2 linked regions of the Oryzias latipes genome follow. The protein of the gene in region 1 purifies or fractionates together with the protein of each later gene. This does not show direct contact. Links are inferred from orthologs where the notes say so. Each region holds a gene or a part of one and is shown on either strand. Other genes may lie near its edges. The genes, in order: nphp1 and nphp4.

Region 1 (4,334 bases):
CTCTGAAAAAGAGACAGCAATAAGACTTAAGGTTTTTGTTGGCCAGGAGCTACGTACAAAACACATTTTCACAGAAGCACATTTTTAAACACTGAATTAAATGAGGAGAATATGATTTTACAACATTAAAAAGGCTATAAATCTAAAAGCATGTTGATGGAAAACCTATTAAGATGGATCGTCTTTCATCTCTTGTGCTATCCTAGACACTTTAACATTGGGAGTTGGATCATCTAGACCCACTAGACTGTGCTCTGAACCTTTTTTCTTCATTGATTTGTCATCTTCACTGGTGTCCATGGATTACATGAAATCTTTCCACCTTTATCCACCTTTGTCATGGTAGGGAGGACATGTCAATGGTAAGCTTGACCCCATAGGATAGCACAAAGGTTAAACAAAGTACAACTATTTGCCATGAAGTGGCTATGGCTCCATCTTCTGATTTTATCAAGTACTGCATTCAAATAACATTCAACATTCAAATAACACTAATGCTCCAATTTTGCCAAGAATCAACACATAAGCAGTTCATTTAAAAGGTGCCTGGAAAGTGAAATAAGTTTTTATATTGCATGCATACATTGACACACAATTTAAGCTGATGTTCTTTTGCTACATTACTTTTAAAAATGCAAAGAAAGAAAAAAACAAATTCATAAAATTAGCTTCAGTCTTTCTGAAAAGGGGGGATTTACCTGAACTGACAGATCTCCTTCCTCTTCTCCTTTGAAATCACTCAGGACAGTGTAGATCCAGAGGTCTGATTGTAATGGTGGCTTTACAGCCTTTTTATCATCTGAGTCTTCATCACTGTCATCATCACTACTGCTTTCCTCATCTTCATTAGCCTCCCTTTGACTCTCATCCTTTGAAACGTCACTGTAGAATAAGACAAGATAGGAAGTTTAAGTTTTCCATCACACACACACAAATATCTCTGGTTCTGGGAGACTCTTGAAGTCTCAACAGCAGCAGGGATAATTGCAAATGGAACTTCTTGTAAAAAATGATGAGTCTGGAATTTGTTTCTCTATATTCTGCTGGAGCTGACCCGGTGTCACGACTGGGTCCAGGTGGTGAAAGATCCAGAGAAAGATCATTCAGACGCTCCACGATTTTCTGCAGCCGTCGCTCTTCTTCCTGTTTCCTCTGATCATAGTTACCCACAGGAGCTGGCTCCTCGGCCTGCAAAACAGTACATCACATTATAAAGTGACATCACTGACTACTTAGACTGTTGTCTTACTTTGCTGCACCTATTATCCCTTGTGCTATCTTAGATGACCCCACCCTTACATTGACGTGTTCTCCCTACCATGACAAAGGTGGATAAAGGTGGAAAGATTTCATGTAATCCATGGACACCAGTGAAGATCACAAATCATTGAAGAAAAAAGGTTCAGAGCACTGTCTAGTGGGTCTAGATGACCCAACTCCCAATGTTAAAGTGCCTAGGATAGCACAAGGGTTACAAATGACAGTTGGAGGCATATGAACCTTTGTGAGCTTTTGCAAAGTCTTTAGTGTCTTCTCTGCTGACATCTGCAGATCTTGACATCTGTTGGGAAATATAAATGCAACACAAGTTTAATTTAACACTTCTTGTTTGCGATAGTACATTTAAACTGAGAGTTTCTTTAAGTATTAATTTACTCTAATAAAAAGAGACAAAGAACTGTAAAATCCAACAATAAAATTGTATTTAAAGCAACATCAATATCCATCCAACTATAAAGATCACCACTGAAGGTAAAAATATGTATAGAGAAAATCTGGACAGACTTCCAGCCTTAAGAAGAGCAGAAACGATGTGATCCAATGATATTTTGAGAAGCTCCTAGTTAATTTGCTATTTATTGTGAAAGCTTTCACAGACGTGTTTCTTGAAAGCATAATGTTTACATTTTTACATGTATAATGGGTGTGGACTCTGTTGTGTACTTAAGATAACAGTGACAAAAAAAGTTAACATTTATAGTTGGAATTACAGTTTTTAGTTTTATAGCTATTTGCTCTTGTTTGGCTAATGAACAGACACTGCTTTTTGGAAGCAATGAAACTAGTATAGAAACGATTCATACCTTCGAAAAGCCTCTTCATTAGATCCAACCTTACTTTGCACATCCTTTACCAAATTATCGACCTGTTTTAGGAAAAAAAATTACAGAAATTGTGAGTATGTTTAATTGTATGGTATATGATTTTTGAATAATAATATCTCGGTTGCTTAATTCAATGATCTGATCAGTGGATGCCTTCTAGCTTTTCAATGATAAAATATTTCTTTGTGCTATTATTCACATCTGCCTGCATCTCCGTTGCTTAAATCGGACTTGTTCAAAAGCACAAGTTTACAGGGGTTTACTTTACATTTGCCTACCTAAAAATGCAACATCTAGGCTTCAAATCAAGATTTATTTCTTCTTACCCTGCCCAACACTGCTTTTTACGGTTAGTTTATTGTACACGAGAGGGTGCTATTATAAAACACACCTGCTTTTTTAGTTCATCCACTTCTCTCTGGACAAGTTGTAACGGTCCTCTTCTTTTAAGCGGCATCTAGGCTCTATTTTGGGTCTGAAGAAAGTCTCATTTGTTAGCCAAACGCCTAGCTTGCTAATATGACGCCAGAATCACTAGTTGCTAGGCAACATACTTTTGTGTAAATCGTTAAAAAATGTTACGTATTAATATTTTATGTATTAAAAGTATATTTTTATGTATTACGCATTGTTTGAATACTAAAGATAAGCTTTGTAAAACTAGAAACAAATGCAAAAATATCTGAAACGCGACTATCCCTGCTTCAGTAACAAGTAAATAATGCGCAGTTACCGCCCCCCAGTGGCCTGGCGTGAAACATGGCCAAAAAATGTAAGCAGCTGTAAGAAAAGCTGACGTTACACGAATTTAAAATGAACCTTTCTAAAAGTTTTCTTTACTGGAAAAAAAATAATTTCATATAGCATTTTTTAAACAAAAAAACCACAGTGATGTTTTTGGTAACTACAACGCCATTACTGAGCTTTCAATTGAAATAAATAATGTCCTTATTGAAAGTGTTACAGAAATCCAATTTTTAGGGGTTGTTATCGACGACAAATTGAATTGGAAGCAACACATCAGACACATACAAACTAAAGTCTCAAAAAGTATTTCAATGATAGATAAATCTAAATATATATTAGAATACGACAGTATATATTTATTGTACTGCACCTTAATAGTACCATATTTCACCTACTGTATAGAAATTTGGGGGAATAATTGTAATACCTCACTACATCCTCTTTTTTACTTAAATAACGAGCCATCAGAAATGTACATAAAGCCGGATATCTTGATTTATTTAATTTATTTCATCGATCTGGACTTTTAAAACTGTATGACCTTGTGGATTTTTACACTGCACAACTTCTCTACAGAGCTAGTCGGGAATCATTACCATTCAATATCCAAAAACAGTTCTTAGGAAGCTACAAACTGAGAAGATTTAGGAACTTTAGGATCAAATGGATAAGAAAAACAAAGAAAAGTTTCTATGTGTCGGTGTGTGGAACTAAACTTTGGAACGGGTTAAGTAATGAACTTAATCTTCAAATATCCAACTATTGAAGAATAGGTATAAAGAAACTTTGAATTCACAATATGAAGATAAGAGGAGTTAAGGATCAACACGTGTGTGAATAATTCCAAATATATGTGTGAACTTGACTGTGGTGAAATAATCATTACAACCAATGAGTATTAATGTGCAAAAATGATTACTAAAATGTTTGAATTACAATCAATAAGCTATTGATTTTCCTTACTTGATATGCAATGTGCAGCAATAATTACTGGTTTAATGTGATAATGTGTTCTAATAATAATCAATTGTTATTACATAATGGTTACCGTTACTGTTTACTGAAATCAAGAATGAATGTTTTCTGAAGATATTCAATCATTACTAGACACTGGATATTGTTCCTTGAAAAGAATCTATCGGATCAGAACTTGATTACAAAAACTATAAAACTATAAAATGAATTAACTCAATAGGGGTTTTTGGCTTCTTTCCACTCCTTTTCAGGCAATAAATCAAGCTCTACTTGACTTTAGTTAATCACTGTATTTATTTAAGCAAATGTGATTTAAGTGAAGTTTTGATTTTTTTTTTTTCTGTCTTTTTAATCTATGCATTTCAACATTTACGTAATGAGTTTGATAAATATGTGTAAATTATATATTGCTTTGACTAAAATGCTTGAAATAAATCAAAAAATCAAAATCAAAATCAATCAAATCGACGTTATTTTTGAAAAATCATTCATGTTTTTAGAATATCT
Region 2 (4,352 bases), on another chromosome or scaffold:
CAGCAGCAGGAGCCGCAGGAGCTGCAGGAGCAGCAGGAGCAGCAGGAGCTGCAGGAGCAGCAGGAGCTGCAGGAGCTGCAGGAGCTGCGGGAGCAGCAGGAGCAGCAGGAGCAGCAGGAGCAGCAGAAGCAGCAGGAGCTGCAGGAGCAGCAGGAGCTGCAGGAGCTGCAGGAGCAGCAGGAGCAGCAGGAGCTGCAGGAGCAGCAGGAGCAGCAGGAGCAGCAGGAGCTGCAGGAGCAGCAGGAGCTGCAGGAGCTGCAGGAGCTGCAGGAGCAGCAGGAGCAGCAGGAGCAGCAGGAGCTGCAGGAGCAGCAGAAGCAGCAGGAGCTGCAGGAGCTGCAGGAGCAGCAGGAGCTGCAGGAGCAGCAGGAGCAGCAGGAGCAGCAGGAGCAGCAGAAGCAGCAGGAGCTGCAGGAGCTGCAGGAGCAGCAGAAGCAGCAGGAGCTGCAGGAGCTGCAGGAGCAGCAGGAGCAGCAGGAGCTGCAAGAGCAGCAGGAGCAGCAGAAGCAGCAGGAGCTGCAGGAGCTGCAGGAGCAGCAGGAGCAGCAGGAGCTGCAGGAGCAGCAGGAGCAGCAGAAGCAGCAGGAGCTGCAGGAGCAGCAGGAGCAGCAGAAGCAGCAGGAGCAGCAGGAGCAGCAGGAGCAGCAGAAGCAGCAGAAGCAGCAGGAGCTGCAGGAGCTGCAGGAGCTGCAGGAGCAGCAGGAGCAGCAGGAGCCGCAGCCGCCCTTTTGGGTCACTGGGTTGCTGGAGCCTATCCCAGCAGTATTCCAAATAAGCGGTTATCCTGTTAACCGAGACAACCAGATTTCACGTAGGACAACCAAAAATGAACCTGATGGTTGACCGTGTGACAACCTGGTCTTTTATTCAACATTTTGGTGTTTTTCGACTATTTTTCAAGTTTCAAGGGTTAGTTTTTGGCAACCTGTGAATTGGGACGTATGTAGCAAATTCTTTCCACCGACAAACGAAGTGCGGGCATGCTAGCGAATCCTTTCTGTTTCTACATGTGGACTTTTCAATAAAGATTATTCAAATAAATGTGTTGAACAACAGTACCTGGCGCGACCGCTAGAGGTCTCCAAAAACACGTTCAAAATAATCAGCCCATTAACAGTAGATTTCAAACACATTCATAAAACACTTTAACTTTCACTCAGAACAGAACAGACTGACATGAGCTGAAAAAAACCTTTTTCATGGGATGATATGATATTTTAAATTTTTACAACAGTCTTTGTATTTTATATTCTTTAAGCAACAATTATCAAAACCAAAAAAAAGAACCAATGTATGTAAATCTGTGTAAAGATACTAGTTATAAAGATATTAGTTGGCAATACTTTGTGTAACCAGATGCTTCAATATTTAGTAAAATGTTTGTTTTTAATATTTAAAGAGTTTTTTAAATGTCCATCATAAGAGGCAGTTGATATTAGATGTATAGAAGAAATAAAGATGTAAGTTCTGACATCTGAGTCGGTTTGGTTGCTGTTGAATATTGGTATCCAAGAACAACCAAATAACATTTGCCACTTTTTTCCCCTTCTTTCTAACGCTGCCCAGCTACTGTTGGGGGAAGGCGGGGTTCACGGTGGACGGGCCCCCAGAACATTCCAGGCTCCTTCAGTCTGTCCTGCAGTCCTGACTGACACCTTTAACCTTAACGGACCTGAACTCAACAGCTCGAACACAAACAGACTGGAACAATAACGGGACGTTTCCCAGAACCAGCAGATCCATCACTGTTCAGTTATTGCTAAAGCATCTGAAACCGGCTGCATGGCCTAGTACGACAGTGTCCACCCAGAAACTGGGAGGGGAGGGTTCAAATCCTTGATTGGTCAACAGCGGTCTGCTGGACGGTTGGGGGGGGTTTAAACGCTGCTGGTATAAATAGAAATGATGGGGCTGCATAAACCCAACTTTACAGTCTGGACCTCAGGAGAACTACAGAAAACTTCACGTGTCGAGGAGAAACCCTCGTGTACCTGATTGAAGGAGATCTTCTGGTTTTTCATCTTCTGGGCGGAACTCTTCCACGTCCTCCCAAAAAAGAGCAGCTGGTTCCGGTCGAACAGCGTCGCTCTCAGCTGGAAACTGGCGTCCGGTTCTCCGGCAAACATCTCCTGGAGATGAGGAACGTTTCCATGAACTTCACGCGAAACCACAGCCTCGGACTTTACCTCAGAGATCCTCGATCACGTGTCATCCAACCGGTTACGTTTTTACAGATGTGAACCGGGTTCAGACCGGGACCCGCGCTCACCTGCGGGAGGTGCGGCGCACTGATCCGCATCGGACCGAGCTGGAAGCCGCGGCTTTGGCTGAAGCTGTCCGCCGCCGCGCGGGCGGTCTGCCCGGAGGGGGGCACGAACCGGTGGAACCGGAACCCCCCCTCCCGGCTCGGCGCCACGACACACACAGCGTCCGAAGTCTTCATCACCAGAGCTGAAGGAGCGGGAAAAAGAGGGAAAAAAGTTCAAAACTGGACAATCTTTTGGAAGACGCCGTCGCCATTTTGAAATGGGACCGTACCATTTAGCTCAGAGGGGTGGCCGGCCAAATGCTTTCCGACACAATCACAGAAAAGTTCACGAAACTTCATGTACGAATAGAATCATTGAAGTAGAAATGGCTGGAAGTAATTTAATTTAAAACAGCTATAAATATTATTTTTAGAGTTGGTAAAAATGAGTTGTTGTCATAAATAAAACCCCGAATTTAGAATTTCCCAACTCACTTTCCGTCTCCATGGTAACGCATGGGATGCCGTTTGTAAAGCTGAACAGTCAAAGAATAACAGTAATATTTTCGGTTATTTAGCCTGTTTTAAGGTGAAATGACAAGTTTCATTTTTAAATGCATATTTTCGCCTTTTAATTAATATATTTGTTACATTTACTAACTAAGCTAATTCATTCATTAATCATCTAAACCGGGGTCACGTGGCTGCTGGAGCCTTTCCCGCTTTCCCGGCCACTTGTGGGCGAAGACCGAGGGGGGGGGGGGGGGGGTCAGTCAGGTCGCCAGTCTGTGGCAGAGCAAGCTAGTTATTTAATTTAAAGTTAAATATTTTTTATAATTACATATTTAGATTATAAAACTAAATGTTTCTTTTGTAATCTGAATTTTTAATTTCTAAAATTAAATATTAAGTTTACAAAATAAACATTTAGATCTAACCTGAATATTTATTTTCCAAGTTAAGCATTTAAGATTTTTATTTAAGTTCAATTTAAATATTTAGCTTTTTAGTAAAAATATTTCGTTTGGAGCTAAATGTTTAACTCGCTAAATATTAGCCAACATGTAAATCAGGGGTCTGAAACTCAATCTACCTGGGGGCCACAGAAGGCCTCTAGCTGAGGGAGGGCCGCAACTTTAACGCACACACACGCAACTAGTGAGTGTCTGAGAGCCAATAGATTTGTATGGAACATATACTATACTAGTAACTATACTCTATTACTAACTGATTGCTGTGCAAAATGTACTTATAAAACTCTCATTCAAATAAAATATGTAAACAAAAAAATCAATCAATAAGTAAATAAATCAGTCATACATTTCTGTTTATTTAGTCTTCTATATCTACTGTTTTCTGATTTAAACATCTTTATTAACACAGTTCAGTTAACACTGTTAAATTATAACTATTAAACACAAAAGAAGACTTAAATTCTACAGTTCTGTAAATCCATCAATGATTCTTCTGAACACGGATTCTCTTGTCTTCTTCTCACTGATGGATACTTGGCAGCACTTCCTCCCAAACAGCTGAGACCCTCAGTGTGGATGAAGATGATTATTGAAATTTAGTCAGAGAGGATGTGCTCCCTATTTTGAGTCTGTGTTGAAAGTTTTTTTTTAAGTTTACTCTTTAAACCACAAATCAGTAAAGGAAAAACAAAATTCAGAAATCGTTTTTGGATTTTCTTCCTGATGACTTTTTGCACATTTAAACCCCGGTCACAAGATGTTGTAGAGCAGCCGGTCAGCCACTCTTATATTTTCATAGTTGAATTCAAACTGTGGTTCCTAAAAGAACGGGTACTGTTCACTGGAGATCAGAACAATGGTTACCTGAGATCAAAGAACGGCTCCAAAACGGATGGAAATTCATGTTGGTGACACCAAATATGTGCAGCCAAGATGCACAATAAGCGTGTTTGAGATCACGCTGGAAATTTAGTACTGCACTGACTGTAAGCTGCCCGCATGACTACAAAACAATGCATTGTGGGACATGTGTCCTGATGGGTTTTTGTAGTTCACTGATCAATTAAAATAATTTAAAATACCAATTGATTAAAAAAAGTCTACATACATTAAAAAACATTAAAATAATT

What was found.
Region 2: the proteins of nphp1 (region 1) and nphp4 purify together in Homo sapiens (co-immunoprecipitation; 6 studies listed by BioGRID and IntAct, with this or other methods). This does not show direct contact. The link is inferred for Oryzias latipes from reciprocal best matches to the Homo sapiens genes NPHP1 and NPHP4.

Annotation. Positions count from the first base shown.
Region 1 is NC_019873.2:15,307,717-15,312,050, forward strand, and holds the start of nphp1 (nephrocystin-1), read right to left. Parts: upstream 2,854-4,334; 5' UTR 2,563-2,853; coding exon 2,497-2,562; intron 2,147-2,496; coding exon 2,085-2,146; intron 1,562-2,084; coding exon 1,501-1,561; intron 1,189-1,500; coding exon 1,055-1,188; intron 883-1,054; coding exon 699-882; intron 3-698; coding exon 1-2. UniProt on the Homo sapiens protein: Together with BCAR1 it may play a role in the control of epithelial cell polarity. Involved in the organization of apical junctions in kidney cells together with NPHP4 and RPGRIP1L/NPHP8. Does not seem to be strictly required for ciliogenesis.
Region 2 is NC_019865.2:668,507-672,858, forward strand, and holds the start of nphp4 (nephrocystin-4), read right to left. Parts: upstream 2,957-4,352; 5' UTR 2,444-2,956; coding exon 2,270-2,443; intron 2,130-2,269; coding exon 1,992-2,129; intron 1-1,991. UniProt on the Homo sapiens protein: Involved in the organization of apical junctions; the function is proposed to implicate a NPHP1-4-8 module. Does not seem to be strictly required for ciliogenesis. Required for building functional cilia.